7 linked regions of the Ovis aries genome follow. The protein of the gene in region 7 interacts with the protein of the main gene of each other region in a pairwise test. Links are inferred from orthologs where the notes say so. Each region holds a gene or a part of one and is shown on either strand. Other genes may lie near its edges. The genes, in order: SPATC1L, KANSL1, KCTD9, ILK, ATOSB, NDEL1 and TRIM27.

Evidence for each region.
Region 1: the proteins of TRIM27 (region 7) and SPATC1L interact in binary tests that used the Homo sapiens proteins (3 or more experiments, as listed by UniProt). The two-hybrid records come from large-scale screens. The link is inferred for Ovis aries from reciprocal best matches to the Homo sapiens genes TRIM27 and SPATC1L.
Region 2: the proteins of TRIM27 (region 7) and KANSL1 interact in binary tests that used the Homo sapiens proteins (3 or more experiments, as listed by UniProt). The two-hybrid records come from large-scale screens. The link is inferred for Ovis aries from reciprocal best matches to the Homo sapiens genes TRIM27 and KANSL1.
Region 3: the proteins of TRIM27 (region 7) and KCTD9 interact in binary tests that used the Homo sapiens proteins (3 or more experiments, as listed by UniProt). The two-hybrid records come from large-scale screens. The link is inferred for Ovis aries from reciprocal best matches to the Homo sapiens genes TRIM27 and KCTD9.
Region 4: the proteins of TRIM27 (region 7) and ILK interact in binary tests that used the Homo sapiens proteins (3 or more experiments, as listed by UniProt). The two-hybrid records come from large-scale screens. The link is inferred for Ovis aries from reciprocal best matches to the Homo sapiens genes TRIM27 and ILK.
Region 5: the proteins of TRIM27 (region 7) and ATOSB interact in binary tests that used the Homo sapiens proteins (3 or more experiments, as listed by UniProt). The link is inferred for Ovis aries from reciprocal best matches to the Homo sapiens genes TRIM27 and ATOSB.
Region 6: the proteins of TRIM27 (region 7) and NDEL1 interact in binary tests that used the Homo sapiens proteins (3 or more experiments, as listed by UniProt). The two-hybrid records come from large-scale screens. The link is inferred for Ovis aries from reciprocal best matches to the Homo sapiens genes TRIM27 and NDEL1.

The regions. Positions count from the first base shown.
Region 1 is NC_056054.1:266,614,745-266,618,244, forward strand, and holds part of SPATC1L (speriolin-like protein), read right to left. Parts: 5' UTR 1,878-3,500; coding exon 1,529-1,877; intron 1-1,528.
Region 2 is NC_056064.1:45,912,785-45,916,828, forward strand, and holds the start of KANSL1 (KAT8 regulatory NSL complex subunit 1), read right to left. Parts: upstream 2,801-4,044; 5' UTR 2,774-2,800; intron 2,550-2,773; exon of another isoform or gene 1,974-2,549; intron 1,219-1,973; 5' UTR 1,077-1,218; intron 1-1,076. UniProt on the Homo sapiens protein: Non-catalytic component of the NSL histone acetyltransferase complex, a multiprotein complex that mediates histone H4 acetylation at 'Lys-5'- and 'Lys-8' (H4K5ac and H4K8ac) at transcription start sites and promotes transcription initiation.
Region 3 is NC_056055.1:40,148,736-40,152,235, forward strand, and holds part of KCTD9 (BTB/POZ domain-containing protein KCTD9), read left to right. Parts: intron 1-1,960; coding exon 1,961-2,057; intron 2,058-2,661; coding exon 2,662-2,720; intron 2,721-2,924; coding exon 2,925-3,053; intron 3,054-3,500. UniProt on the Homo sapiens protein: Substrate-specific adapter of a BCR (BTB-CUL3-RBX1) E3 ubiquitin-protein ligase complex, which mediates the ubiquitination of target proteins, leading to their degradation by the proteasome.
Region 4 is NC_056068.1:46,202,718-46,206,854, forward strand, and holds the start of ILK (integrin-linked protein kinase), read right to left. Parts: upstream 2,801-4,137; 5' UTR 2,613-2,800; intron 2,291-2,612; exon of another isoform or gene 2,286-2,290; 5' UTR 2,264-2,285; coding exon 2,175-2,263; intron 367-2,174; exon of another isoform or gene 1-366. Other genes in the region: RRP8 (ribosomal RNA-processing protein 8), read left to right, coding at 3,063-3,161. UniProt on the Homo sapiens protein: Scaffold protein which mediates protein-protein interactions during a range of cellular events including focal adhesion assembly, cell adhesion and cell migration.
Region 5 is NC_056055.1:53,368,536-53,372,035, reverse strand, and holds part of ATOSB (atos homolog protein B), read right to left. Parts: intron 2,372-3,500; 5' UTR 2,228-2,371; intron 1,982-2,227; 5' UTR 1,906-1,981; coding exon 1,012-1,905; intron 872-1,011; coding exon 813-871; intron 643-812; coding exon 537-642; intron 419-536; coding exon 260-418; intron 1-259. UniProt on the Homo sapiens protein: Transcription regulator that may syncronize transcriptional and translational programs.
Region 6 is NC_056064.1:27,824,456-27,828,668, reverse strand, and holds the start of NDEL1 (nuclear distribution protein nudE-like 1), read right to left. Parts: upstream 2,801-4,213; 5' UTR 1-2,800. UniProt on the Homo sapiens protein: Required for organization of the cellular microtubule array and microtubule anchoring at the centrosome. May regulate microtubule organization at least in part by targeting the microtubule severing protein KATNA1 to the centrosome.
Region 7 is NC_056073.1:29,117,587-29,121,547, reverse strand, and holds the start of TRIM27 (zinc finger protein RFP), read right to left. Parts: upstream 2,801-3,961; 5' UTR 2,439-2,800; coding exon 2,019-2,438; intron 850-2,018; coding exon 754-849; intron 1-753. UniProt on the Homo sapiens protein: E3 ubiquitin-protein ligase that mediates ubiquitination of various substrates and thereby plays a role in diffent processes including proliferation, innate immunity, apoptosis, immune response or autophagy.

The sequences.
Region 1 (3,500 bases), on a different chromosome or scaffold from region 7:
TAAATCCTCAGTCAAAACTTCCCTGGTGGCTCAGAGGTTAAAGCGTCTGCCTGCAATGTGGGAGACCTGGGTTCGATTCCTGGGTCGGGAAGATCCCCTGGAGAAGGAAGTGGCAACCCACTCCAGTATTCTTGCCTGGAGAATCCCATGGACAGAGAAGCCTAGTAGGTTACAGTCCACGGGGTCGCAAAGAGTCGGACAGGACTGAGCGACTTCACATACACATACATATACACATAATCAAAACTTTCAAACCATATTAAACTATAAATGAGTCAGAGTCAATAGAAAACCCTATCTCCTCAAAATTAAAAGCATTCTCAGGACTTCCCCAATGGTCCAGTGGTTAAGAACTCACCTTGCAATGCAAGGGTTGTGGGTTCAGTCCCTAGTCAGTGAACTAAGATCCCACATACTGCAGAACAACTCAGTCCACTCCACAACTAGAAAGCCCAAGTGCCACAACTAAGACCAAAAAATATATACATATTAGAAAAAAAATTATCTTCAGTAATAATCAGATCAAGGAGAAAATAGAAATAGAAAGAATGATTATTGAGAAATAATGAAAATCAGAACACTAGGTATATTGCCATCAATACATTTAAAACTGTATCTAAAGTGAAATTAGCAACTTAAATCCTTTAATTACTTCTAAAACATAATCAAAAAATTAAACATTCATATAGGGATGAACTCTTGAAGAAAGCAAAAGTCAGAGAATAATAAAAATAGCAGCAGAAATAAACTTGAAACAGCTCTACAAAAAGTCCAATAAGATAGTGAAACCCTGGAAAGCTACTTTAGAGAAACAGAAAACAAAAGAATAAAATTGAAAATGAGAAAAGCCAGATAAGAATGACCAGGAAGACAATGTTTAAATCATAAAAGATTATATCCAACTGAATATTACTTGAAAACTTTAATAAAGGAGAGATCACTTGGGAAGCTATTTTCCATGACTCAATAAGAAGTAGAAAACCTGCACAGATGAATAAGCAAAAAAGAAAAACCTAGAAGTTATAGAATTATGGGCAAAGAGTTGAAGACCTGTGTGGTTGGTGGATGAGTTCTTTCAAGTCCCCAAACAATTCACAACCCCTGCATCACATGAATGAGGCTGGAACACTGAAAAAATTAAACGATGCTTGATTATCAAGCTTATAAATTGTCATAACTCTGATATCAAATCCCTGAAAAGACAACTCACAGAAAGAAAACTGCAGCCCAGATTCACATAGGAATTAGAGAAAACAGAGTCCAGAGATCCTGAGCGAAGCCCCAGCCAAACAGATCCCACAGCAAACAGCTCAGGCCCAGAACCAGGAGTCTCTCAATGACACAGTGGAACAAGACCCCACAGGCCAGTGGGGGTGCAGCTGAGGGCACTTTGGCCAGAAAAGAAGTGAGGTCATAAAATCTTAACAAAATGAGCCCTTCTTCAATTTTGTTGTCATTGTTGTTCTTAAAAAATAAGGACTAGAAGGCTTTTCCCCAGCACCCAGCCTACACCCCCCACCCCCAATACCTGGACAGACAGGGCTGTCCACTGCCGACCACCCTCCAGAAGGATGAGCGGGGAGGCTGTCAAGGCCAAAAGTCCTGGGATTCCTGAGGAAGAAAGACAGAAACGAGCGTATGAGCTGCCGTTGTTGTTCAGTTGCTAAGACGTGTCCAACTCTTTGTGACCCCATGGGCTGTAGCCCGCCAGGCTCCTCTGTCTGTGAGAATTCTCCAGGCAAGAATATTGGAGTGGGTTGCCATTCCCTTCTCCAGGGGATCATTCTGAACCAGGGATTGAGCCCTGTCTCTTGCTTGGCAGGTGGATTCTTTACCACTGAGCCAGCAGGGAAGCCCATCTGAGAGGCCAACCCCATTTAAAAGTCTGTAAACAGCAGCTACAGAACTGAGAAAACGGGAGAAAGAACTGGAAAACTCAGCAGAACAAAATAGCTCAGGGAGGGACTGGATAGTGAATTCCCTGGTGGTCTAGTGGTTCAGGCTCCACGCTCTCACTGCCCAGGGCCTGGGTTTAACCCCTGGTCGGAGAACTAAGAACCAGCATGCCTGGTGGCCAAAAGTAAAAATAAAAATATAAAGTAAGCAAAATATGATAAGGGGCCTGGATATAGGCTAAATATTTACAAATCAACAGATTTCCAAAACACAGTAACACAGATAACTGAAAACACAGTGGAAAAAGAAATCCCATCCATGATTGCAATTAGTAACATAAAGTGCCCCAGGAATAAACCAATTAATGTGAAAGATTTATGCGAGAAATGGCTAAAGAGACTTGAAGAAACAGTCAGAGCAGCTTAATAGAGGTGCAGGGGACTATCTCACCCTCTGGGCAAATGTAAGAAAAAGAGATGTGAAAATAATTACCCTGCCTTCTGAGCCAGTGATTCTACCTTTAGGGAAACATACCCTAAGGCAATAACTCTGAATAGAAAATGCTTTTGCTGTGGTATTTACTTCAGGGTGGGCTTCCCTGGTGGCTCAGACGTTAAAGCATCTGCCTGCAATGTGGGAGACCTGGGTTCGATCCCTGGGTTGGGAAGATCCCCTGGAGAAGGAAATGGCAACCCACTCCAGTATTCTTGCCTGGTGAATCCCATGGACAGAGGAGCCTGGTGGGCTAGAGTCCACGGGGTCGCAGAGGCGGACACAACTGAGCGACTTCACTTCACTTCACTTACTTCAGAGCTGGAGAAGGAAATGACAACCCACTCCATTATTCTTGCCTGGAGAATTCCATGGACAGAGGAGCCTTATGGGTTATGGTCCATGGGGTTACAAGAGTCAGAAGCAACTGAGCAACTAACACTTACTTCAGGGTAAGAGAAAAGAACTGTCATTTCAAACATAAGGAGAGTTCATTAAATTCCGGTTCATCTGATTCTGGACTATTACACAGCTATTTAGAATGTATTTATGACAATACAGAAGCAGCTGTCTCGTGATGGTAAAGGGAAGAGGCAGAGAGAACACTCAGAAACTACTTAACATCACTGGACACTCCATGCAGGACAAGGCGTCCAGGCAACTGTGGAGGCTCTGAGACGCCAGGGGCTCAGGCACGAGGGTGATCTGGAGGAAACTGGCCTGGGAGGGGAAGGCCTGGGATGGCCAAGGCCCCCACCCCACCCTGTCCCTCAGAACATGTGCACCATATGCAAAGCGGCCCCCTCCCATGGGTGACACCAGCTGTGGGAAAGGTGCAGCAGGAGAGGCCACAGCCCTTTGGAGAGGGTCCCAGTGTCCATGTCAACACTTGAGCTGCACGTGGCCTTTGACCCAAGGATTCCTGGACAGCCCCCGTGAGCAGGGGTACCTGTGAAGCCCCCATGGCTGCTGGGAGATGGAGGAGCACTCCTGTCATGGGGACCAGACTTAAGGGCTGGTGGTGAACCAACAGGGAACAGTGAGCAAGCCCTCCAGGAGATGGCCAATGGTCAAGGACGGAAGATGGACGGCTGGGGAGTCAGTGTAGAATG
Region 2 (4,044 bases), on a different chromosome or scaffold from region 7:
ATATAGAACTCCTCAGCCAACAATAGCAGCTGGAACATAAATGAAGATGCGAACTCAGTCTACATTTACCTAAAAATTTCCCGCAATCCAAGTGTTTAGTTTACACAGACTGCATTAATACCTGACGTATTCACTGCATTAATTTGGAATTCCACAGGGCAGGTTAACAGACAAAAATCTAACTACATTAGTATTTAGCTCTGAAGGAAGTCACCTGTACCATCCAGTGAAGCTTGTGGGGGCTTCCATTACTCCTTACCCTTCCCCATCCTTCCTCCCTCCCATTTTCCTCCCTGCATGTATCTTAAGCTTTATCCTCTGTTTAGTCTTTCTTAATGGAGAGAGTTTCCTGGCCATTTAAGTACAAGAAACTGGAAGTAGCCAAGAGAAAGGAGAACAACCACATCATTGGGAGCTTTTTCATGTAAAGATCGTGTTCTCACACTGCCCCCAAAGAGGTTTATCTTGTGAGGTGAAATATGGCACAAAGTGCTACCTGTTGAGAAAAATAGTACAAATTTGCATGCAAAGGACTAGGGAATAGCAGGAAAACTCCCACAAAGCTACAGATATAAACAAACAGGTCTTAGAATGTTCTAAACATCAATCAAGTTTCAGAGTAAATAAATGGCTAGTGACACATCTTCTGTAACACATGAATCAGCTACAGATTTGCAAGAGTGGGACACACCCTAACACCTATGATGATACTAAAGGACCTGTTTGAAAGTGGACCCGGCTGTCTGAATTGCCAGCCCATCCTACTGAGACTGGAACAGAATTTTACAACGGTGTGGGGTTGTCATAATTTAAAGCTAAAAAATAAACACATCATTATCATGAAAGTTAATTTGAGAACTTCATTAATATTTTAACACCAATAATTAAGGACAGGAGCAATACAAAGGAGTAACCAATCAGTTCTAGGAGGCAAACACAAGGGAAAGAAATGTCAGGTAAGACGGTTGAAAAACTGCAAATTCAAAAACTAAAAAAATCTCAATTCTAAAAAATAATAATAATAAAACGAGACCTTTATAATTAAAAAAAAAAAAAAAACCACACACACATCTTACCTTAAGAGGCATCCAAGTAGCATTCATAGTGTCAGCAGTAGTTCAGGCAATAATACTCAGAAACGAGCAAGAATAGAGTCTTAGTAATTCCCCAGCCACCAAGTATGAGAAGATAGGAAAATTTTTTGTTTCAAAAAGGTATCTGAAAAAGAGAGGACTTTCATTTAGACTAAAAATAATCCAAAAATAAGCATATAGTTTAAACTATCTGGACAGAGATTCAAAGTACTATTTGCCTCACCATTTTAAAAAAATGTAGAAAATAACTGTTCCTTTTGGAGAAGGACAAATGCGTGTGGTGTATGTTTCTCCACAGGTATGAAGAAATATATTTCTCCATAAAATTGGATTAAATGTGTAACACATATTTCAGATAATATAAAATTGCTTATTAGAATTATTTCTCAAATAGAAAAATGATTGTCCAGGGTTACTTCATAAACACTATTAAAAAGTGATTTTTTTATCTGATCACTAAAAAATGCCCTTGCCACATTTAGTTTTAATAAATTAAACCCTCTCTGATCATTTTGATTGTCCTAAATTTTCTTGAGTTTAAGCTGCAGAGCCCATTCTATGTGGAAAAATAATAGCCATTCTTGACTGAAGTGCTACAAATAAAAGACCCTTCTTTCCTAGAAATCTTTAATAACAGGCCAAACAATTTTGAGCCAAGTTTGTGTGGAGGTAGGAGGATGGATTAAATGACCTCTTGTAGGATTCGTGCTCTCGTCCTAGGCCTGAATGAAAATTCCAGCTTAACCAGTTACTGCTTCGCTTAAAATGGAGGCTTGCCCGATTAGGGACAAAATAACAGCACCCACCTCTGTAAAATAAATTTTTAAAAATTCAAAGCCTACAGTACCCTCATTTTTAAGAAAAATTAAAAATAAAAACCTCTGGAGTGGATTTGTTCTTGCTATGCGTTTGTCACTTCGGCGTCGAAGACTTGGCATCACTTTCCTTACGCTCGTCGAATTTTTTTTTTTTTTTTGGTGGGGGGAGGGTTGGGGGGAGTTTGACTTCTGACCCAAGTCCGGGAAGGATTTAAGAGCCCCTCCATAATCCCCAACGCAAGAGCTAAGGGGCGAAGAGAAAGGGGAGAGCCCGAGTTCCCACCCCTCCCCCCACCCTAGACCCCAGTCCCAAACAGACCCCCCCTTCCCGCAGTGAGGCGACTCCTTCTGCCCCAAACCCATTGTTAGGGAGGGGGCGTAAGGGAGAGGGGGCTCAAGGCAGGGCGCCGGCGGCCGTTGCTCCGCTCGCTTCTGGAAGGGGGCGGCCCGCGGGATGCAGCTTCCCTTCCTCTCCGCGTCGGTCCGTCCCACCTCGGCTCGGCCTGGCGCCCCGGGCTGTGCTCGGCGCCCCCGGCCCCGGGCCCGGCCCAGCCCGCCCCCCGAGTACCAAGCCCCCGACCCCTCTGCCCGCAGCCCGAGGCCCAGGCCTGCGGGTGGGCGCGGGGCGGGGGTCCCTATGCCCCACACACGCGTCCCCGCTCCCCCAGCCCAGTCGCTTCCAGGGCCCTCGGCGGCGCCCGCTCCCCGGGCCCGTCGGCCCCCCGCCTCCCGGCCGGGCCACCCCCTCGGGCTCCCGCCGTTGGGGCCGCCTCCCCTTCCCCACCATCACCCCTACCGACTCGTGCCCCCACCCCCCGGGGCCCCAGTGCCAACGGCGGCTCCCCCGGCCCCCGGACCTACCTGCACAGCTCAACCAAGCCTAGAAGTGGGGGCGGGGAATCTTCCGCCCTCCTCTATCTCTCATTGGCCCTTCCGGGGAACATAGGTATCTCTATTGGCGGGCGGCGAATGTCCGTCAGAGTGGTGGGGCGGGACAGAAGGGGAGAGGGATGCTGGTGCCTTGGCGTCTCTGTCTCTGTGTATCTCGCTGTCTCTGTCTCGGAGCTTGGAAATGAGAGACATTTGGATGAGAGGACTGGAAATGGGCCTCAGGTGGCAGAAATAGAAACAGGGATCCTGGCAGAGCTTCCCGCAAGTCTGTCACTCCGAACCCACTACCTAAGTCCCCTTTAGATCCTCTTCCCCATCACCCCCAACCCCGGCCCCTCACCCTTGTAGGTTCTTCATCCAGGAAGCGTTGTGAAGAAAACTCGAGGCCGGAAGGCCACAGAGGGAGATTTTATATATGTATATAAAATACACACATACAAATACTTATATAGAAAGTCAACCAGATATAAGGTCACAAGGGCCTGGAGAGGAAAGGACACACATCTGAGATATAGCCAAAATAAAGAATAAAAAAATCACTCTAAGAGCTGGTAACGTGGTTTCCTTCTGGGAGGGGAGTTGAGGGGATCAGGTGTGAGGAAGACTTACATTTCACTATATATCCTTTTGTATCTTTTGATTTTAAAGATTTTGATTTTTTTCCTTTTTTTTTTTAATTACGTGGCTTAATTTTAAAATAACTATAAGGTGGCAAAACCAGGGGGACAGTTAAAATGGTGGTCCGGACAAAGAGGGACAGCATGAAGACTTGGTGAGGAATTTTAGTTTTTAGTATGTTCATTTCCAGATAGCAGGGGTAAAACCAAGTAGAAGTGTTCAGGGAAAACTGCAGTTATGGAATTCAGGAGGGGGTGGATAATCTGGGGAGATGATAGAGTTCTTCACATAATATGGCAATCAGTGACATGCTAAAGGAAGAACTCCCCATAGAAACATAAAAACACATCCACAGTAAAGTAAGGCGGGTGAACAGAAACAGAAAGATGGTTGGTGAGATAAGAAAAACAAATAGTGAAGAGGTATGAAAGTTAAGGGAGGAAGGGTCTCTGGAAAAATAAAACAATAAAACTATGAGAACCTCACAGATGGTACGACTCATTTCAGGGACCCTCTTTAGCTTTATGAAATAAGAATGAGAGCTTGCTATACACCTGAAACTAACAACATTGTAAATCAACTATACTTCAATTTAAAAAAATTTTTTTAAATTAAAAAACCAA
Region 3 (3,500 bases), on a different chromosome or scaffold from region 7:
TATTCAAGAGGCTATCTTTTCCCCATTGTATATTCTTGCCTCCTTTGTGAAAGATAAGATGCCTGTAGGTGTGTGGGTTTATCTCTGGGCTTTGTATATTATTCCATTGGTCTGTACTCTGTGCCAGTACCATGCTGTCTTGATGACTGTATGTTTGTATTATAGTCTGAAATCAGGTAAGTTGATTCCTCCAGCTCCACTCTTCTTTCTCAAGATTGCTTTGACTACTTGGGGTCTTTTGTGTTTCTATACAAATTGTGAAATTTTTTTGCTCTAATTCTGTGAAAAGTGCCATTGGTAATTTGATGGGGGTTGCGTTGTATCTATATATTACATTTGATAGTATAGTCATTTTCACAGTATTGATTCCTCCAGCCCAGGAGCATGGAATATCTCTCCATCTGTTTGTGTTGTCTGTGATTTCTTTCATGAGTGTCTTGTAGTTTACTGTACACAGGTCTTTTGCCTCCTTAGGTAAGTTGAAATCTAGTAAATACGTTTCATCTCTTCCTTCATTTCTTTTTGATTTTTAGTTTCCCCTTTCATCTTTTACCTCCTTTCAGGCATTATCTGTGGTGTTCTTTCACTCCTGTGTTTCTTGTAATCTTCATTACTGAAATGATTTTTCTTTTTACTTCTAATTCTGAGTTCTCTTGTCCCATTTCTTCATTTTTGGTTCTGGTTTATATTATTTAACTCTTTTAGCATATTTGAAATATTATAGTTTACCTATTTTATGGGTATTTCTGCCACATCTTTATTATCTATAGGGATGTAGTCTTCCTTTTTAGAAATAATTTTGTATGGGAGTTTCTGTTCCTCATTTTTTACATGAAATTCATTTTCCTTTACTGGAGAAGGACAGGCTAACTTAGGAAAGTTTTCCTAATTTCATGGCTTTAGGTTTGCCTTTTTCTGTTTAATGTGAAGTATTGACAAATATGGGGATTACCTTCTTATGTATTCTGGTTCTGGTGGACCTTGTTGACTTTTATTATCTTTTTTTAAAATTTATTTTTAATTAAAGGATAATTGCTTTTACAATATTGGTTTCATTTCTGCCATACATCAACATGAATTAGCCATAGGTATATTTATATATATGTGCCCTCCCTCTGGAAACTCCCTCCCTCCTCCCACCCTTTCACACCCCTCTAGGTTGCTGCAGAGCTTAGGTTTGGGTTCCTGAGTCATATAGCAAATTTCCATTGGCTGCCTATTTTATGTATGGTCATGTATGTGTTTCCCTGCTGCTGTCGCCATTTGCCTCACCCTCTCCTTCCTCCCCTCTGCCTGTGTCCTAAGTCTGTTCTCTGTGTCTGCATCTCCATTGCTGCCCTGCAAATAGGTTCATCAGGACCATCTTGCTAGATTCCACATATATGTGTGTTAATATGTGATATTTGTTTTTCTCTTTCTGACCTACTTCACTCTGTATAATAGACTCTAGGTTCATCTACCTCATAATACTGAGGTATTCGATGTGTTCATTTTCCCAGCAACTTACCCTCTCAGTGTGGGGCTTGTTTCCTAGGTGGGAGTTTTGAGAGTTCATTTTCAGCCCCTTCAGATTTTACTGCACACTACTTGAATCACCTGCAGTTAAGAGTGGGCAGACCCCTCCACTTCCGGGTGGTTGTTCTCAAGCAGATTTGCTGAGTTTTGAAGTGAGTCTTTACGGATTACTTTGGAATACTTAGGATCATTACATACCCTGCTGTTGCTGTCAAAGAAGCTGATGCCATAGCTGCTGTCCTAGCTGTCAGTGCTGGTGGTATACCTTATACTTAGTTTTGTTTTTCATGCTGTCTATGGGTACAGGGCTTGCTGTCCTGGTAGCTCTGCCATGCTTTCTATGTGTGTTTTTGGTTTAAAAAATTATGGTATTACCATCTTCCCTAAATCACCAAATTAATGCCTCCCCAAATTAATGTTTATTTTTTCTACCTGTCATCTCTAGATCCTCAGACAGATTCTAAACTGCCTGAAGGGCTGTCAGGATCTCACACAGACTGGCTCACATTAAATGTTGGAGGGCGGTACTTTACAACCACACGGTAGGTGCACATGCACGTGTGTGTCAGTGTGGTACTATGTGCTGTCTGTCCTTTCCTTCAGAGTACTGATTTCCTTAGGAGATATTCCAGTGCTGCTTAAATATACTGTGTGATTTGAAACCAATTTTTAGAAAGACTTTTTTTTAAGAGTAGAAAAATGGCTCATAAGTCATTCCAGAGAAGGCACAAAAAGCATGAATTTAGCATTTTTAGAATGTGTTTTTAAAATATTGAGCAATATACTTGTAACACAAGTAAGAAAATTAACAACATTGAAATTTTAAGACACAACTGCTTATACTAAAGGGATAAAAACAGCCTACTTTAGAGCATGAAAATTGTGATATAGTTGCGTGCTAGAGGGATAGATTAGCATTGAAATTAAAGTCAACTAAATCGATGTTTAAATCAAAGGAAGTGCCAGATTAGAAGAGATTTTGATAAATGGCAACTTACTGCACATTTTTGTCTCCCAGCATCACTCCTCCCAGGTTATAGCATGCATCTTTTTGAGAGAGCAGCTGAGATCAAGTATACTCTTGACTTAAATATGTTTGTTTATAAAGACAAATGGAGAAATCCATTTTTTTCCCTGAATTCTTAGGAGCACTTTAGTGAATAAAGAACCCGACAGTATGCTGGCCCACATGTTTAAGGACAAAGGTGAGTGCAGTCCATAATTTTCCCATTTTGCATCTAGCTATATTGACTTTATAAACTCCTGTCCTTCTGTACTTTTTAATGGTATTGGTAATAATCTGTACAAGAGTAAAAACATACTGGTATGCTACACAGTTTCCTTCCTATGAATTTCTGACTTTATTTTTTGCTTATGGGGGGGCTATCTTCATTTTGTTGGCCCCACAGGTGTCTGGGGAAATAAACAAGATCATAGAGGAGCTTTCTTAATTGACCGAAGTCCTGAGTACTTTGAACCCATTTTGAACTATTTGCGTCACGGACAGCTCATTGTCAACGATGGGATTAATTTATTGGGTGAGTTTTCAATGTAATTCCTTATATTTTTATAAGTTTGGGATTTATACTTTCTTTTTAACTAGCTTAGTGTAATGTATTTTCATCAAGTAAAATTATCGTTTTCATTTTTAAAACTAAATGCTTTTATGTGTGTATGAATATATATTGTTACAGAGGTATAGCCACAGGTAAATGGCTTTTCACGTATGTATATAACCCATGAATTCCAGTTTGGGATTCTAAATAGACTTGGAATGTATCAGTAAGCACTCTAAAGGATTTTATTATTCTTTTAAAATCTTGTTTGTTTCCTTTCTAAGCTGTTCTCTATTTGTTTTTGGCTGCGCTGGGTCTTTGTTGCTTTGTGCAGGCTGTCTCTGGTTGCGGTGAGCAGGGGCTCCTCTTTGTGGCAGTGTATGGGCTTCTCGCTGCGATGGCTTCTCTTACGTGGAGCACAGGTTCTAG
Region 4 (4,137 bases), on a different chromosome or scaffold from region 7:
CCCATAAAGCCTGGATGAAAGTGACAGGTGATCCTTAACTCTCAAACCTAAAATCTATTTTCTCCTCACTTTAAAAAAATTCTACGATCCTGAATCAGCATCACTACTGCTTTTCTTGCCTTCCTGTCTCAGCCAACCTTAAAGAACTTGTCTACATTCACTTTCTCTACTTCACATTCAACCTGCCCAGGAGACCACTGCCTTGAGGACAAGCATTATGCCTGATTCTGGACTTCTAGCACCCAGTGCGTGTTCAGTATAGTTCCTTAAATGAAGGAACCAAGTATAGTCTGGTTTTTTTCACTTGTTTTCCTCTGAAACGGCTCTCACAGAGATCATTAAATACATAAATAATTGTAAATTCAATGGTTACACTTTAGTGCTCAAGTTCTTTGACCTCTTAGCAATCTAGAGTACCACTGACCACTCCTTTCATTGAAACATTCACTTCTTTAAGCCTACTCCAGTACTTTTGCCTGGAAAGTCCCATGGATGGAGGAGCCTGGTGGGCTGCAGTCCATAGGGTCGCTAAGAGTCGGACACGACTGAGCGACTTCACTTTCACTTTTCACTTTCATGCGTTGGAGAAGGAAATGGCAACCCACTCCAGTGTTCTTGCCTGGAGAATCCCAGGGACGGGGGAGCCTAGTGAGCTGGTGTCTGTGGGGTCGCACAGAGTCGGACACGACTGAAGCGACTTAGCAGCAGCAGCATATTTTCCTGTTTGGTCTTCTAGGTTTCTCATCCGGTTTCATATCCACCTCTTCAGGTGCCATCTACGTGCTGTGTGTGTCTGTGTGTGCATGCGTGTACATGCTTAGTCATGTCTGACTTTGCAACCCCATGGACCAGCCTTCCAGGCTCCTCTGTCCATGGGATTTCTCAGGCAAGAATACTGGAGTGGGTTGCCATTTCCTACTCCAGAGGATCTTCCAGACCCAGGGGTTGAACCCGCATCTCCTGCCAGCTCCTGCCCTGGCAAGTAGATTCTTTACTGCTGAGCCATCTGGGAAGCCCATCTTCATGCTGCTGCTGCTGCTGCTGCTAAGTCGCTTCAGTCATGTCCGACTCTGTGCGACCCCATAGACACCAGCTCACCAGGCTCCCCCGTCCCTGGGATTCTCCAGGCAAGAACACTGGAGTGGGTTGCCATTTCCTTCTCCAATGCATGAAAATGAAAAGTGAAAGTGAAGTCGCTCAGTCGTGTCCGACTCTTAGCGACCCCATGCACTGCAGCCTACCAGGCTCCTCCGTCCATGGGATTTTCCAAGCGAGAGTACTGGAGTGGGGTGCCATTGCCTTCTCCAGTCATGCTAATATCGCCCAAATCTTTGTCTCCAAGTCAGATCTCTCCTGAAATCCAGCAGCCCACTCCACATCCACTTTATTGTCACTTAAATGTGTGCAGAGTGGAACTCACCACCCTTCAGCCTTGTCCTTCTCAATAAAAGGAACCACTATCTACCCAAGCCAGAACCCTGATCATCATCTTTGACCTCACTTTCCACACCAAGTCTCACCAATTCTTTATCCAAAAGATCTCAGGAATTTGATCACTTTTTTCTTTTTTGCCTGTCCCAATTCTAGTCTAAGCCATCACCACTTGAGATGGACTAGGCAGTTAGTTGCCTCTCTTCACATCACCACTTGCTCTTCATAAAGCATCCAAGATGACACTTAACAAATGGACAATCTCATCGTACCATTACATGGCTCTAAACCCTTGCCCTTGCAATAAAAAATTATTATAGCCTAAATACTCTTGCATGATCTGACTGACCCTTGCAGACCTTTCCAGTCTTAACTTCTGTCATTCTGCACTTGTGCTTAGAGCTTTAGCCCACAGAAGCCCAGCGGTTTTCTCTCCTCTAGCCATATGGAGCTCCGGACAGTTTCTGGCACTCTCTGCTCCGTGTCTTGCCCCCTAGCTTTTGCCCATGAGGTTCACTGAAGTTAGAATACTCTGCAGATTCTGCCTGTAAATTCTTATTCAGTCAAGATTCAGCTCAAACAACAGCTTCCGGTGTGGAGACCCTCTGCCCCGCTGACAGGCTGTTTAATCCTCATCACACTGAATAGGAAAGTAAGCCGCCCGCACCAGAAGTGAGCACCCCACAGAGCGGAGAGGAGCATGTCTTTGCCCTTCCTCTCGCCCCCCAGCCACCCCAGCTCACCCCTGGTTGAGGTCGTTCTCCGTGTTGTCCAGCCACAGGCGGACCGCAACCGCGTTGCCCTCCCGGCACTGAGTGAAAATGTCGTCCATAGCAGCGTCCCGGCAGAGTCCCCTAGACTGGGAAAGTGTGGGAACTGTAGAAGGATCTTGGGGGGGGGGGGGGTGAGCCCCAGGCTTTGTCCCCTACAGGAGAGAAGTGTGGTGTTGGGCTGGGGGTCTGGGCTCTGCGTCCCCAGCTACTGGATGTCTGTAAGGAGTTAGGGAGGCAGCGGAATGGTCCTGGACTGTGTCCCTTGAGCGCGAGGGAAAGGCGGATCGGGCGAAGTAGGCGTTGATGAAGAGGTAGTGTCTTCCGAAGGGATGTCACGAGAGCAAGCACAGAGACCCTACCCGCGAACAGAGCTGGGGGGTGGGGGTGGGGAGTTTAGGCGCCGTATACCCTGGAGGAGGCGATCGGAGGTCCTTGCCGAGGATGGCCCTCGTTCCCGACTCGGAACCGAGTAGGTGGAGGGAGGGGTGACCGCCTGGTAAAGCTCGAGCCTTGGGGAGGGGGCACGGGTGCCCCCACACTCACCGGGACTCGGGCTAGAGGAGCCTTCTCCGGGGAACTCCCGTCCGGCCGCGCCCGCCGCCCGGCCCCGCCCCTGGCCCTCTCAGGCCAGCGCGGGCCTCCTTCTCCCGGCCCCTCCCTCCCGCCTTCCTTGCCCTTCTAGCCCACCAGTGTCTAAACTCGATGGTTTTCGGCACTGCGCCGGCTGCTCTAGCCACTTCAGCTCTCACTCTTTGGTTTCCTGCCCTGTTCCGGCGTCTCTGAGCGGTCTGATTCTTAGAGACGTGGTCTGCACGTGGAGAAGCGGGTGGATCCCGCAACCTTGCGCTCCCCAGCCCCATGTTCGAGGAGCCGGAGTGGGCCGAGGAGGCCCCTGTAGTCGCGGACCTCGGGTCTGTAGCCTTAGGGCTTCGGCCCACGGCAACCTCTCAAATCAAGGTGAGTGGCCCTGCAGGAGTACTCAGAACAGACTGCTGGATTCCGGAGCTGGGGCGCGCCGCGTGTGTAATTAGGGGGAGGGGGGCCGCTTGCAGCCTCCCCAGATCCGGAACTTCCAAAAGAAAGTGACGTTGGAACTGAGAGAGAATTGGTGAGTAGAAGTTAGTGAAGCAAAGAGGGTTTCTTGGAAGGAAAGGCATGTGGAGAGACCCGGGTCAAGGGAGCATGACACAGAATGAGAGGCAGTGTGGTAGAAATTGGAGGGCTACGTTAGAATATTTGCACGTTAAAGATAGAAGCCAATGGAGTGTTTTAGCAGGGGGATGATTTCTTCAGATTTGCGTTTTGAAAATGTCACTGGTTGCCGTGTGGAGATTGAAAAGAGCAAAACTGAATGGCAACGAGGGCTGTCAGTGCCGCTGTTCAAAGGGAGCTGGAGCTGAGGGAGTACTGAGAGTCTCCAGGATGAGGGATCCGTCCAGTGGGACTTAGTCCAGAACGGCCTCCCAGACAGTAGTCCTCCTTTAAGCCTCTGCCGATGTGAGGGCTGCTGCACTTGCTCAGGCTCTTTCTGTCCTTCAGTCAGCCTGTGACATGAAATCTGCCTGCTTTATTCTCTCCTCTTCAACCCCTCGACCCACTGCTGTAATCCCCGCCACTGGCCTCTGTCTGCAGCTTGTCTCTTTCAGTGTTTTTTTTTTTTTTCTTTCGGTTCTTTACACTGCAACTGGAGGCATCTTTAATACACACATGTGTGATCATGTCACTCTTATTTTCAAAAATCTTCCTACTTTTTATAAAAAGGTATTAGCTAGAGGTAGAAACCTGAGATTGAGAGTTGGAACTCCCGGTCACTAGCCTCGGTCCTGTAGCTCGTGGCCTTACAGTGTTTCTCTGGGAACCCCATCACCTCATCTATCCAATGAAGAAAGTGAGGTGGGTGGTTTCTCTGCTCTCCAGCCTCCCAAAGGTTGGG
Region 5 (3,500 bases), on a different chromosome or scaffold from region 7:
TGTGGGAGACCCCAGACCACTCATCCATCTCCACCATCTCTCATCCTGGGACTTGACCCCTGCTCCATACAAGAGTTCTCTCCCACTAGGCCCTGATTCTTAGGTAAGAACATCTCAAGAATCCCTCCAAAGCAGTTCAACTACTGCTCTCCACCTGAATGCCTTTTCCCAATAAAGTCTTTTGCATTGTCAATTAAAAAAAAGAGAATACCTCCTGCCTCTAACCCCTCATGCCCTTTGGGTTGAGGTCAGGTCATACCAGGAAGGGAGCCGGGGCATTTTGCTCAGAAACGTCAAAGAAGGTGACAGTGACGGGCAGCGTGACATGCTGAGGGCAGTAGGATCCACTAGCTCCAATCTCTGCGGTGAAGCCCTCAATGCGGCCGGACGGTGCGAAGCGTCCTCGCAGCAATGATTCCTGGGGTTAGGGTAGGGAAACGTGAGAAAGATGCTATCTGTTCTCTTTATCTATCCAAGCCACATACCACCATCCCTTCCTGCAAGACCCACCAATCCAGGAATCCAAGGGGAACTACCTCAAAGTTGCCCAACAAGGTACGGCTGACAGCAGGGGTAGGAACCGGGGAGGCACTGGGAGGGCTCAGCAGACCTGGTCCCTTCCGGAGGCTTCGAAAGGAGCTCCTGGTAGGGCAGAGGACACATGAGTGGGCTGGTTGACTTGAGATGTTCTGGGATGTTTGCTATTGTCCTTGGGCCCCACCTAAGGCCCCTTCCCTGAGGTCCCCTTGCCTGGTGTTGGAAAGAGAACTACAGACTTCTGCCCCTTTTTCAAGGAGAAGCAGGACACTTACAGCTTCAGGCGACGGGCACCTTTCAGCCTCCGCCCCATGGGACTACAGTCTGTTGGGTCCTGTGGAGAGGAAAGATTAGGTAAGAAGGCTAGATGGAAGCCAGGCTCATCACGAGCTCTCACAGGAACATACCCCATGCCATCAGCTTTCCCCACACAGATATCCACATAAGTGCAGACCACTTCCTCTCCTGGCTTACCAGCACAGGCTCCTTGGGCCCAGGCAGCAAGTGGCTCCAGAAGGGTGTGGCTTTGGCATCAGAACTGTTGGCAGCAGGAGGGTGGCCCAGTGTTCCCCGGCGCCTCCGAGGGGCTGGCCCCTCATCCTCAGAGCTGACATCCAGGGCTTCTCCAGCAGGAAGCAGCCTTCGCTTGGTGGGGCAGGGGCCTGGAGGTCCGGGGCCAGGGGGTGTGTGCTCGGGGCTGCACCCATTGGCAGTGCCAGGGGACTCCCTAGGCCAGGGGCTGCCCCCATTGCCCACCCCAGACACTAGGCTCTTACCCCCTATTTGTGCAAGACTGTGCAAATCAGTGTCAAATGTGTGCAGCTGGCCTGGAGGGGCTGGCCCCAGGGACGCCCCCAGAGACCCCTGTCCCCTTGGATCTGGGGAAGCCCAGTCTCTGGTGTGCAAAGTACTGCAGGAAGCATTTGATGGGGGCAAGGGGGAACTTTGGGCCCCCGAAGTCCAAGGTGAGGTGGAGCTACCTCCTTGTTCCACAACACAGAGGCCGTGATGGCAGAAATGTTGGCTGGCCACGCCCAGTTTCAGCCCCAGTCCCTCTGGGCCCAAGAGCCCCACAGTAGGTGGCTCTTCAGGGGATAGTCCCTCTCTGGCCCCTAGTCCGGGGCCTCTCTTCAGCTCCCTGGGACACTCGGTAGGTGGGGCTGGCCGTTTCAGGGCCCTAGGAGGCTCAGAGGCACCAGCTGGAGGGGAAAAGATGGATACCTGGTAGACCCCGGGGGATGTCGCCCCCCCCGCTGGGCTGTAGCCCATGAGCAGGCCACCCTGGAGGGCCCCCTGCCTGACTGCAGGCTGCGAAGGGCCAGCCTCTGGCTCTGAGGATGGAGATGTCTCCGCCTGCACGTGGCGCATGAAGCCCCGCCTTCAGTCAGGGGGGACCCCCCCCACAGCCTTTATGCTGGGCTTGGGCTGGGGGGCCTGGGGACATCTGTGCAAGAGAAGAGAAGAAAAGATGGTGAGAGGAATCCATGAATCATCTCCCTCCCAGATGAAATTCAGATCCTCCCCTGGACTACAGAGGTGACCTTGTGAGGTTCCAGCAGGGTGAAGATAACCAAACGCCCCAGATGGATTGATGGAATACAGAGGGCATGCTCAAAACTGCTGAACAGGTGACCCGTTTCGCTCAGGTCTCTAACTCAATCTGCTCCCCGCCTCTCTCTCTGGCACTCACCCCGATGAAGAGGCCTCAAGCCTAGCTGTGTGTTCCCTCTTCCTGGCTGATGTCTTGCTCTCCTAGCTTGCAGTCTGGTCCATGCCTGCTGCACTGGCAAGGTGACTGCCACCATTCCGTGCAGCTCCTAGGCTCAGCTGGACTCTGAGGAGAGAAAAATGGGAAAAGCCTGGCATAAGCCAGGATCTCTGGAGCCAGTGGAAGGGCTGCGCTCACAGAGTATACCCCAGGACATCCTCCTCCAGTTTATAGAGGACATACTCCTTCACAGTACCCCTGCAGAGATGGAAGCAGTAGTCTTGGGATCCAGAGCCTAGAGGGCAGAACTGGGTTATACAAAGAGTCACAGAGTGGCAGGTCTTAGCTCATTGTAATAGGATGTGACAAGTAAGTTGAGGGAGGAAAACTACTTGTCAGGGCCACCAGCTGGGGGACTCCTGCCCTGAATGAGATGGGGGATGAGAAACCCCAAGATCCAAAAGACCATGACAACTGAAAGGTGGCCAAGGCAAGAATTCAACTCTCCTAGTCAAGGCCACTGAGTTGCACAACTCCTGCCCATACACCTATCTCTAAAGGAACAAATGCCACTCCATAATTCTCAGGGCAGAGGTCTTACAAAAATATTCCTCCCCAGTCAGGGCTCCTTGGAAGTACAAACCTCAGGCTAGCTCAAAGTGGGTCTTTCAGAGTTAAACTCCCAATTGTCCCCAGCAGTCTGTCCCTTTAACAGGAAGCAACAAATCTAACCAAAAACAAGTCTAGAGGGGGCAGGGTGTGGAGGAAGCACTGCTAGAAGACACTCTCCAGGGCCTGCCCCTCCCCCAGGCTCTGCAAACTAGAGATAAGGCAGTGACAGCCAGACAGCTGGAGTGCCTCGCTACTCCTCCCCAACACATCCAGCACCCCAAAACTCAAACCACTGCTTTTCTGCCAGGGTACAAGATGGTCTTCCCTAACTAGTCCACCCTCAGGAGCCCATATTGGGTGAGGGGATGTCAAATCGAAGGCTCTCTTCCTTCATGGGAGAAAACACTGCATGCAGGATCAAACTTATGCTTTGGTTAGTAGCCTTTGCTGCCTGCTATCCACAAAACACTTTCCTTTTCAGGGGGGAATGTCCCCTTATGCCTATCCAAGTCTTACCCTTCCTCCTTGGCTAGGCCAAATGCCATCCTCTCCATAAAACTTCCTCTGGCCTGGACCATAAATATTTATCTCTTCTGAGACCTCACTTATGGCAGTGTCACTGTCTCCTGTAATCCTGCAACAG
Region 6 (4,213 bases), on a different chromosome or scaffold from region 7:
ATTCTTCAATGTAATCTTTGTAATTGCCTTAATAAAAGTGGATATGAAATTTAAAACAAATGGTATGACATTTATTAGAGGAATCTGGACAAATGAATTAAAACTGTGAATATATGTATAACCTTTTACCCAGCACTCAACTTATTAAGGATTTATCCTAAGGAAATTATAGAAGTAATATGCAAAGACGTATGTTCAGTGATGTTTACTGCAGCATTGTTTTATCATTATGCCCAAAACTGGAAACAACCTAAACACCCAGGAGACTCATTTAATAAATCATAGTATAATCCAAGCACTGGAATACTACACAGCTGTTAGGAAGGACAAGGAAGATTTTATAAATTAACATGAGATGATACTCAAGTGATACTAAGTGAAAAAAAGAGGGCTTCTCTGGTGGCTCAGTGGTAAAGAATCTGCCTGCCAGTGTAGGAGACGCAGGTTGAATCCCTGATCCGGAAAGATCTCACATGCTGCAGAGCAACTAAGTCTGCCCGCAACAAATATTGAGCCTAAGCTCTAGAGCCGGGTAACCACTAACTATTGAACCCGCGCACCACAACTGCTGAAGCCCATATGCCCTACAGCCCATGCTCTGCAACAAGAGAAGCCACTGCAATGAGAATCCCAAGCACCACAAAGAAGAGTAGCCCCCACTTCCCGAAACTAAAGAAAAGCCCACAGGCAGCAAAGACCCAGCACAGCCAATAAATAAACAAGTTTAAAAATGGTTAGAGAACAGTAAATACAGTTTGACACAAGAAATATTGTTTTAGAAGTCTAGTTAATTTCCAAAATATATAAAGAACTACTACAACTACCACTACTACAACTCAATAACAAAAATACCAAACAACTCGATTTAAAAATGGGCCAAGAACTTGAACAGGTATTTCTCCAGAGAAGTATACAGATGGCTAACAAGTACATGAAAAGGAGCTCTACATCACTAATCATCAGGGAAACACAAATCAAAACTACAACGAGATACCACACCCCCTGGGAGGAAGAAAAAAACCACCACCAGAAAATAAGTGTTGGTAAGGATGTAGAGAGATTGGAACCCTTGTACATTGCTGGTAGGAATCCAAAATGGTACAGCCACTATGGAAAACATTCTGAAAGTTCCTCAAAAAAGTAAACACAGAATTACCATATGATTCAGCAAATCCATTTGTGAATACGAAAAAGAATTAAAAGCAAGGACTCAAGTAGCCATCTGCACACTCGTATTCACAGCAGCATTATTTACAATAACCAAAAGGTGGAAGCAATCCTGTCCATCAGCAGATGATATAAACAAAATGTGGTGTCTATAGACAATGCAATATTTTTCAGCTCAGAGGGTAAAGTGTCTGCTTGCAGTGTGGGAGACCCGGGTTCAATCCCTGCGTCAGGAAGATGCCCTGGAGAAGGAAATGGCAACCCACTCCAGTACTCTTGCCTGGAAAATTCCATGGACAGAGGAGCCTGATAGGATATAGTAGGATATAGTCCATGGGGTCGCAAAGAGTCAGACACGACTGAGCGACTTCACTTTCACTTTAAAAAAGGAAGGCAATTTTGACACCTGCTACAACATGCATGAACCTTGAAGACATTACACTATGTGAAATAAGCCAGCCATCAGAGGACAAATACTGTATGGTTCCATTCAAGAGAGAGTAGAGTGGTAGTTGCCAGAGACGGGTGGGGAAGACTAGGGAGATACTGTTTAATGGGTACACAGTTTCACTTGGAGAAGAAAAAAAATCTGGAGATGGATCTTGGTGATGGGTGCATGTCAATGGGAATGTACTTAATGCCACTAAGCTGTATGCTTAAAAACTAATTTTTATTTCATGTATATTTTGTTGTTCTTGTTCAGTCACTCAGTTGTGTCCAACTCTTTGTGACCCCATGGACTGCAGCACACCAGACTTCCTGTCCCTTACCATCTCCCAGAGTTTGCCCATGTTCGTATCCGTTGAATCAGTATATTTTATCAAATTTTTTAAAAATTCAATTTTTTAAGTAGAACTTTATATACCAGTGTCACTAATAATCTCTGGGGCTGGAATTATGTAAAAATTTTCCCTTTCTCTTTGTTTATATTTTCACCAGTTACCACAATCAGGAAAAAAAGGTATCTAGTTCCATTTAGAAAATGAAAGTAACCTCACACCCTGAGAATGCCGTCTTACAGTTTACAAAACACTTTCACAATCATCATCCTGCTTAAGCATCACCAACATCCCAAAAAACAGAGACATTTTTGAACTGTGTAGACCAGAAAGGTTCAGAAGACAGTGAATTGCCCGTCAGTAAGACAAGGAGCCAGGACTTAATCACAAGCCCCAACTCGGTCAGCTCAGCAAACTTTCAAGCATCACACCAGCTGTGTCGAAGTCAATCCCAGAGAAGCCATCTCCCAGAGATGAAGCTCGCTCTACAGCCTAGAAAAATGTTACCTGGGCAGCTCACGTAACACACAACCAAATCAAGGTGATGAGATTTTAGGGGGGTAGAGGTCAAATGATCTGGTTTCAGGAAGCCACCCCTGGTACCATCCCTCACAGGGACATAACCAACTTCACAAACTGACCCCAGCCTCTGACAGTCCCCCACAATGGACAGAAAGGGTCTACCAGGAGCCCCCCACTCTGGCCCTGATCTGGCCCAGACCTTATCCAAGCTGACCCCCCAGTCCCCACCATCCCAACATACCTGGTCCTGTGTCCCAGGCCTCGCAGATCAGATCAACAGCAGCACAAAGTGGCTGGAGCTGAAGCAGCTGAAACAAAGTGGAAATCAACAGGAAGTGTGAGAATCACCTTGTGACAAAAGAGGCACGAAGACCGGAAGTGGGTTTGGGCCAGGAAGGCTGCGGCCGGCCTTCTAGAAGTGAAGCAACCTTGCAGCCCCACTGCTCAGCTGCTATTGAGCAAGACTTCAGGGTTGAGGAAGGAGAAAAAGAAACTCAATCCCTAACTCTTTAGCCAGAACTTCAAGCTTCCCCTTTGTCTGTCTCCAGCCCTGTATTAGAGGGGAAAAGCAAGGAGGAGAGCTTTCCCACATTAAGGGTAGGAGATGCAGGATCCCTGTTGATTCAGTGGTAAGAATCCACCTGCCAACCTAGGTTCGATCCCTGGTCTGCAAACCAAGATCCCACATGCCCCAGAGCAACTAAGCCCATGCTCCACAACTACTGAGCTGAAGCACTAGCGCCCTAGAGCCCTTGCTCCATAACAAGAGAAGCCACTGCAAAGAGAAGCGCATGGACCACAAGAGAGTAACCCCCTGCTCACAGCTAGAGAAAGCCCATGTGCCACAACAAAGACCTAGTGTAGCCAAAAATAATAAATAAAAGGTAGGGCTTCCCCAGTGGCTCACTCAGTAAAGAATCCACCTGCAGTGCAGAAGACACAGGAGACTCAGGTTCAATCCCTGAGTTGGGACAATCCCTTGGAGGAGGGTATGGCAACCCATATATTCTTGCCTGGAAAATTCCATGAACAGAGGAGCATGGTGGGGTACAGTCCATGGGATCGCAAAAGAGTCAGACACGTCTGTGAAACTGAGCACACAGGAGATGCCCAGAACCTGGCAAAGCACACCTGTGGCTTCAGAGAAAAAATGGGAAGTCAGAGGGAAGTAGCCTCCGCCTACCACTTTTGGTGGCAAGACCTTGAATGAGTTGCTGTGTGTCTCTGTGTCTCATCTTTGCAAAATGAAATGGAGGTGACACCAGTACTGACCTCATGGCATTGTTTGGGCTTAAATGAGATAATGTGTGTAATTGGCTTCACATACATCCCATTATTCCCTTCAGTGGTTGGTGGCATCCCCCCTCCTTTCTGCCTCTCCAAATCTGACCCACTCCTTAAGTCTTTGGCAGGTCATGCCACCCTGGTCTGGAGTCACTTCTCGCCTCCACAGTGGCTGCAGGTCAAATGTGTCACTGGGTCCCACCATGTCGGAGAAGCACCACGGTTAAGAACTACGACTGAGGCCCTTCACCGATAATTCCTTCCCATGGAGCTGTCTATCTCCCCAAGGTCACCCAGGGAGGGTAAGGGCTGCATGGATTTGTCTCTGTTTTCCCAGGAGCATCTACCAGAGCACTGGAAGTTAGTCCATAAATGTTCATGGACTTTTAAGATGCTATGAAGGTTTCAGACTGACCTCAGGGCAGCTCAGGATCATGTTGTCTCCAGCCTGGGGCTGCTGC
Region 7 (3,961 bases):
AAGGTTATCTGTCCTTCCTTCTCCACCACTTATCCCACTGAGAGACTCCACAAAAGCTTATTTCAGAATAAAGGGTCAGCAAACTCCCGTGTTTACTCCCTTGGAGTAAAAGTTTATTGGGAAACAGATCCACTCATTTAAATGGTGTCTTTAGCTGCTTTTGAGCTATGACAAGGGAGCTGACTGGTTGTGGTAGAGGTATAGGCCACAAAGCCAAAAATATTTACTCTCTAGTCCTTTACAGAAAGGTAAGGGACTATTTTTTCCAGAACAACCACCCTCTCCCCCAAATATCCCTACCACAAAGGCCTTGGGAAACTAGGAGAAGGGAACAAAGAGAAAAGTTCAGAATAGAATCATTGCCAAGAAAAAGAACATTCCAACAAGAAGCAACAGTCAAGTTTATGGAAAGCCACTGCCAGCATCTGTCTGCAGAACAATACAAAAGGCTGCTAACCAATGCTCAAGAATTTCACCAGAATCAACCCTGATCTGCACAAAGCTAGCAGATTAAACTTTTGCTAGGTCAGATCTCCAAGGGTTTAAAGTTGACTATTCCATCCTTTTCCCCCCAGATGTGGGAATCCCTTGGTTCTCCAGGTGAATTCTTAACTGCCATGTAAGGTTGTTCCACCCGTACCTATAAGTTCTGGGTGATCTGACTGCACAAGGTTAAGGGAAGTTTACAAGTCTTACAATATAAGAGAGTGACCAGAAGAACCGATATTATCTACGAATTCTCAGGAACCTCACCAAGAGTTCAGCTCGCGCCTGCTCTCCCTGTGCCCTTCGCCTCTTCTTTAAGTCTTTCACTCTTTTTAGGTGGTCCAGCTGGTTCTGGATTTGCTCCTGAAAAAGCAAAAACAGATGTACAGCTCAAGATAAGGCAGGCCTTAGCAGTGTGACTCTTCTGCTTATCACCTGTGTAACCCACATTCACGATGCCAAGTTCTTGGTGAGAGCCTGTCCTTGGATCACACTGCCATCACTGTGGCACCACACCTCTCCTTTGGTAGTTTGTATCTTAAATGGTGGGTCACCTACCTGCCTTTGGAAGGATACCGCATGGCTTAGTGGAAAGGTGAATAAACTAGAAGGCTTTAGTTGTCGAGCTTTCAGGGACAGGTAAGGAGAGAAAAGGACTTAACTTCTCCTATTTTCCCTTGGTGTGACATGAACCAACACCACCTTCTCAACCTAATAGTGTTCGGTGTGAGTAAAATGGTATTTTTGAAAGCACCATAAATGTTCAGTGAATAATTTTGCATGAACATACTCACATTTACACATGTACATAATTGTGTGGATGTTCTCTGCAGTCCTCATACACAGATTATGTGCACACCTTGAATGTTGTCTTACAACTATTTTATATTTAATACTTTATTTCCATGCTATCGTTGAGCTGTACAAATCTGTTGGTGCACAAGGGAATCCACACAGCATTTTATTTCACTCAGTCTTCATTAAGTCTTATCTCCTATGAGTCGCACAGTGGTTAAATGACTTAGGCAGTAAGAAACTTGTTCTTTTCCGGGAGGTTCTAGAAGAGGACGGAGCACAGGGAAGTGCTGGGGGAAAGGAGAGGTGATGGGCATCTATTTGATGTGAATACAGCCGGGCAACGTCCGACTGTGTTTTGTCTGAGATCATCTAGGAGCCAACAGGAATGCGAGCGTCTCTGAAGCTTGTCGCTGCGTACGTGGTTTTACAGATATCTTATATACAGTCAAGAGGGGTCTCCATGGGCCGTCATGTATAATGTGCCCGTGAGAGGGTAAACACAGAGGCACATACGCAATGAGGGTGGGGAGACTTCTGGCTTCATCACCAGCTACAGGTTTTCCTCCCAAATCTGAGTGCCGAGGCTCTGGAGCGGACAGAGGAAATGACGGCTGTGAACCACACGTCCGGCTCAGCCATTTTCTAGGCGGAAAAAAGGAAGCCCCTTTGGCTCTCTCCTCCCTTTGTCCAACTCGCGCTCCGGCCCCTCCCCGGCCCGCGCGCCCGGCCCTCACCTTGAAGCCCTCCACCGCCTCCTCGAGCGGAAGCACGCTGTGGCCGCGGTGCTCGCGGGAGCGGTCGCACACCACGCAGATGGGCATCTGGTCCTCCTCGCAGTACAGCTTCAGGGGCTCGCGGTGTTTCTCGCACACGCCCATCTCGCCTCCGGGCCCCGACGGCCGCTCTGTGCGCAACTGCTTCACCAGCTGGGTCACGTTGGCCAGGTGCCGGTTGGGCCGCATGTGCCGCTGCGGGAAGGTCTCCCGGCACTGCGGGCACGACACATTGGTCTCCGCCGCGCCCCAGCAGCGGGCGAGGCAGGCGCAACAGATGTTGTGGCCGCAGTCGAGCATCATGGGCTCCACAAAGTACTGCAGGCACACGGGGCAAGTGGTCTCCTGCTGTAAGCACTCGGCCACGCTCCCGGAGGCCATGGCGCGGGCCCGCGGGGGCGAACGGGCATGGGCCCCGGTGCCCAGCCCAGCGCGGAGCCCAACTCGATTGCGCTCCCTCCCGTCCGCTGTTTCTGGGCGGTGCGGAAAGGCCAGCCGGGCTGACGGAGGGCGACGCCTCCCGGGCCGATCCCAGACGCGCCCGCGCGCTGGAACGGCGGGTGGCCGGGCCGCTCCCTGAGCCGCTGCGCCGGGCGGAGGGAGTATGGGGGTACCGCGGCCCCACCGAGCCCAGCGACTATGTGAAGGGACAGCAAGATCGCCGCCGATCGGACTCCCGGAGCCGGGCGCTCAAAACGCGCAGGACAACGTGGCCGCGTCGGAGCCGATCCCAGCGGCCGCGCAGACCCCACCCCTGCGCGAGCGGAAGAGGCGGCCCGGGGGCGGGGCCTGGGCCGGACCTCCTTCGTGAGGCTGGAAATTGCGGCCTCAGGCCTGGACGGATTCTTTCACAGGGAACCCGGGAGGCCTCGCCGCCAGGGCGGGGGCGGAACGCGCGGGCGGAAGCTCCTTGGGTACGGGTCCTAGAGGCAGGCGGTGTCCACGGGGTGCGGCGGGGTCAGGATAACCCCTGCCTGCACGCTCCGGGCGCCCCCGCCGAGCCTTGGGCCTTGGGCCTGGATCCCGGGTCTTTTGTTGGGTTTCTTCTCTGGTGCTCAGGCCTCTGCCGCGGCGAGAGAAAGCTGGCTTTGTGTTGGTGTGGGAAGAAGAGACATCTGGCTTCCCCGGTAGGCCAGAGGGCTGGGAGTAGCCGACTCAGCCCCACCCAGTCTGTGAGGAACTTTATCAAACAACCCCATTGACGGGCGCTCGCAGTTGCGTTTCGTAAAAGAAAGGATTAATTATTAGATGAAAACATTTCTGTGACAGAAACAGGCAAGCCCAGTTCTGCTACTTCCTACTGTGCCTAAGCAAAGTGGTCTACCATTCTGAGCTTCAGTTTCCTGTCTGGTGAAACGGGAGTAATTATACCCCAGCTCCGTACAACTTTTTAACCCTAAGGAGGTTTACCATTAAAATAATAAAATACCCACTGCCTAGAACTACTAAATAGAACTTAAACATGCTTGCTCATTAATAAAACACCTAGTGCCTAGAGCTGTACTGAATAGAACTAAACAGGCCTGCTCCTTCCCGAAGTATAGGGGGAATGATAATCCTGTGAGTAACACAGGCTGTTTTCATTATCCAACAAACTTACAAAATTTTTGCGTTGTTCGCCCATCCCTACTTTGGTGTTTCCTGTTTTCCTTTGCTATTTTCTCGATATTGTCCTTCATCCTCTAAACTTAATTGAATTTGGACAGCCTTGCCTGTGTTTATTTTAATTTCCATTGTTATATTTTGAACTAAGTGATTTCAACAATGTCAGTTTACAAATCTTTTTTAAATGAGTTAGTAACTGGTTGAATGTGACCTATTCCACCAGTTTCCTTGTTTATACTCTTTTTCTCTAACCTATTTACACAATGTTTCAAAGAAACAGATCCGATACTTCAGTAACT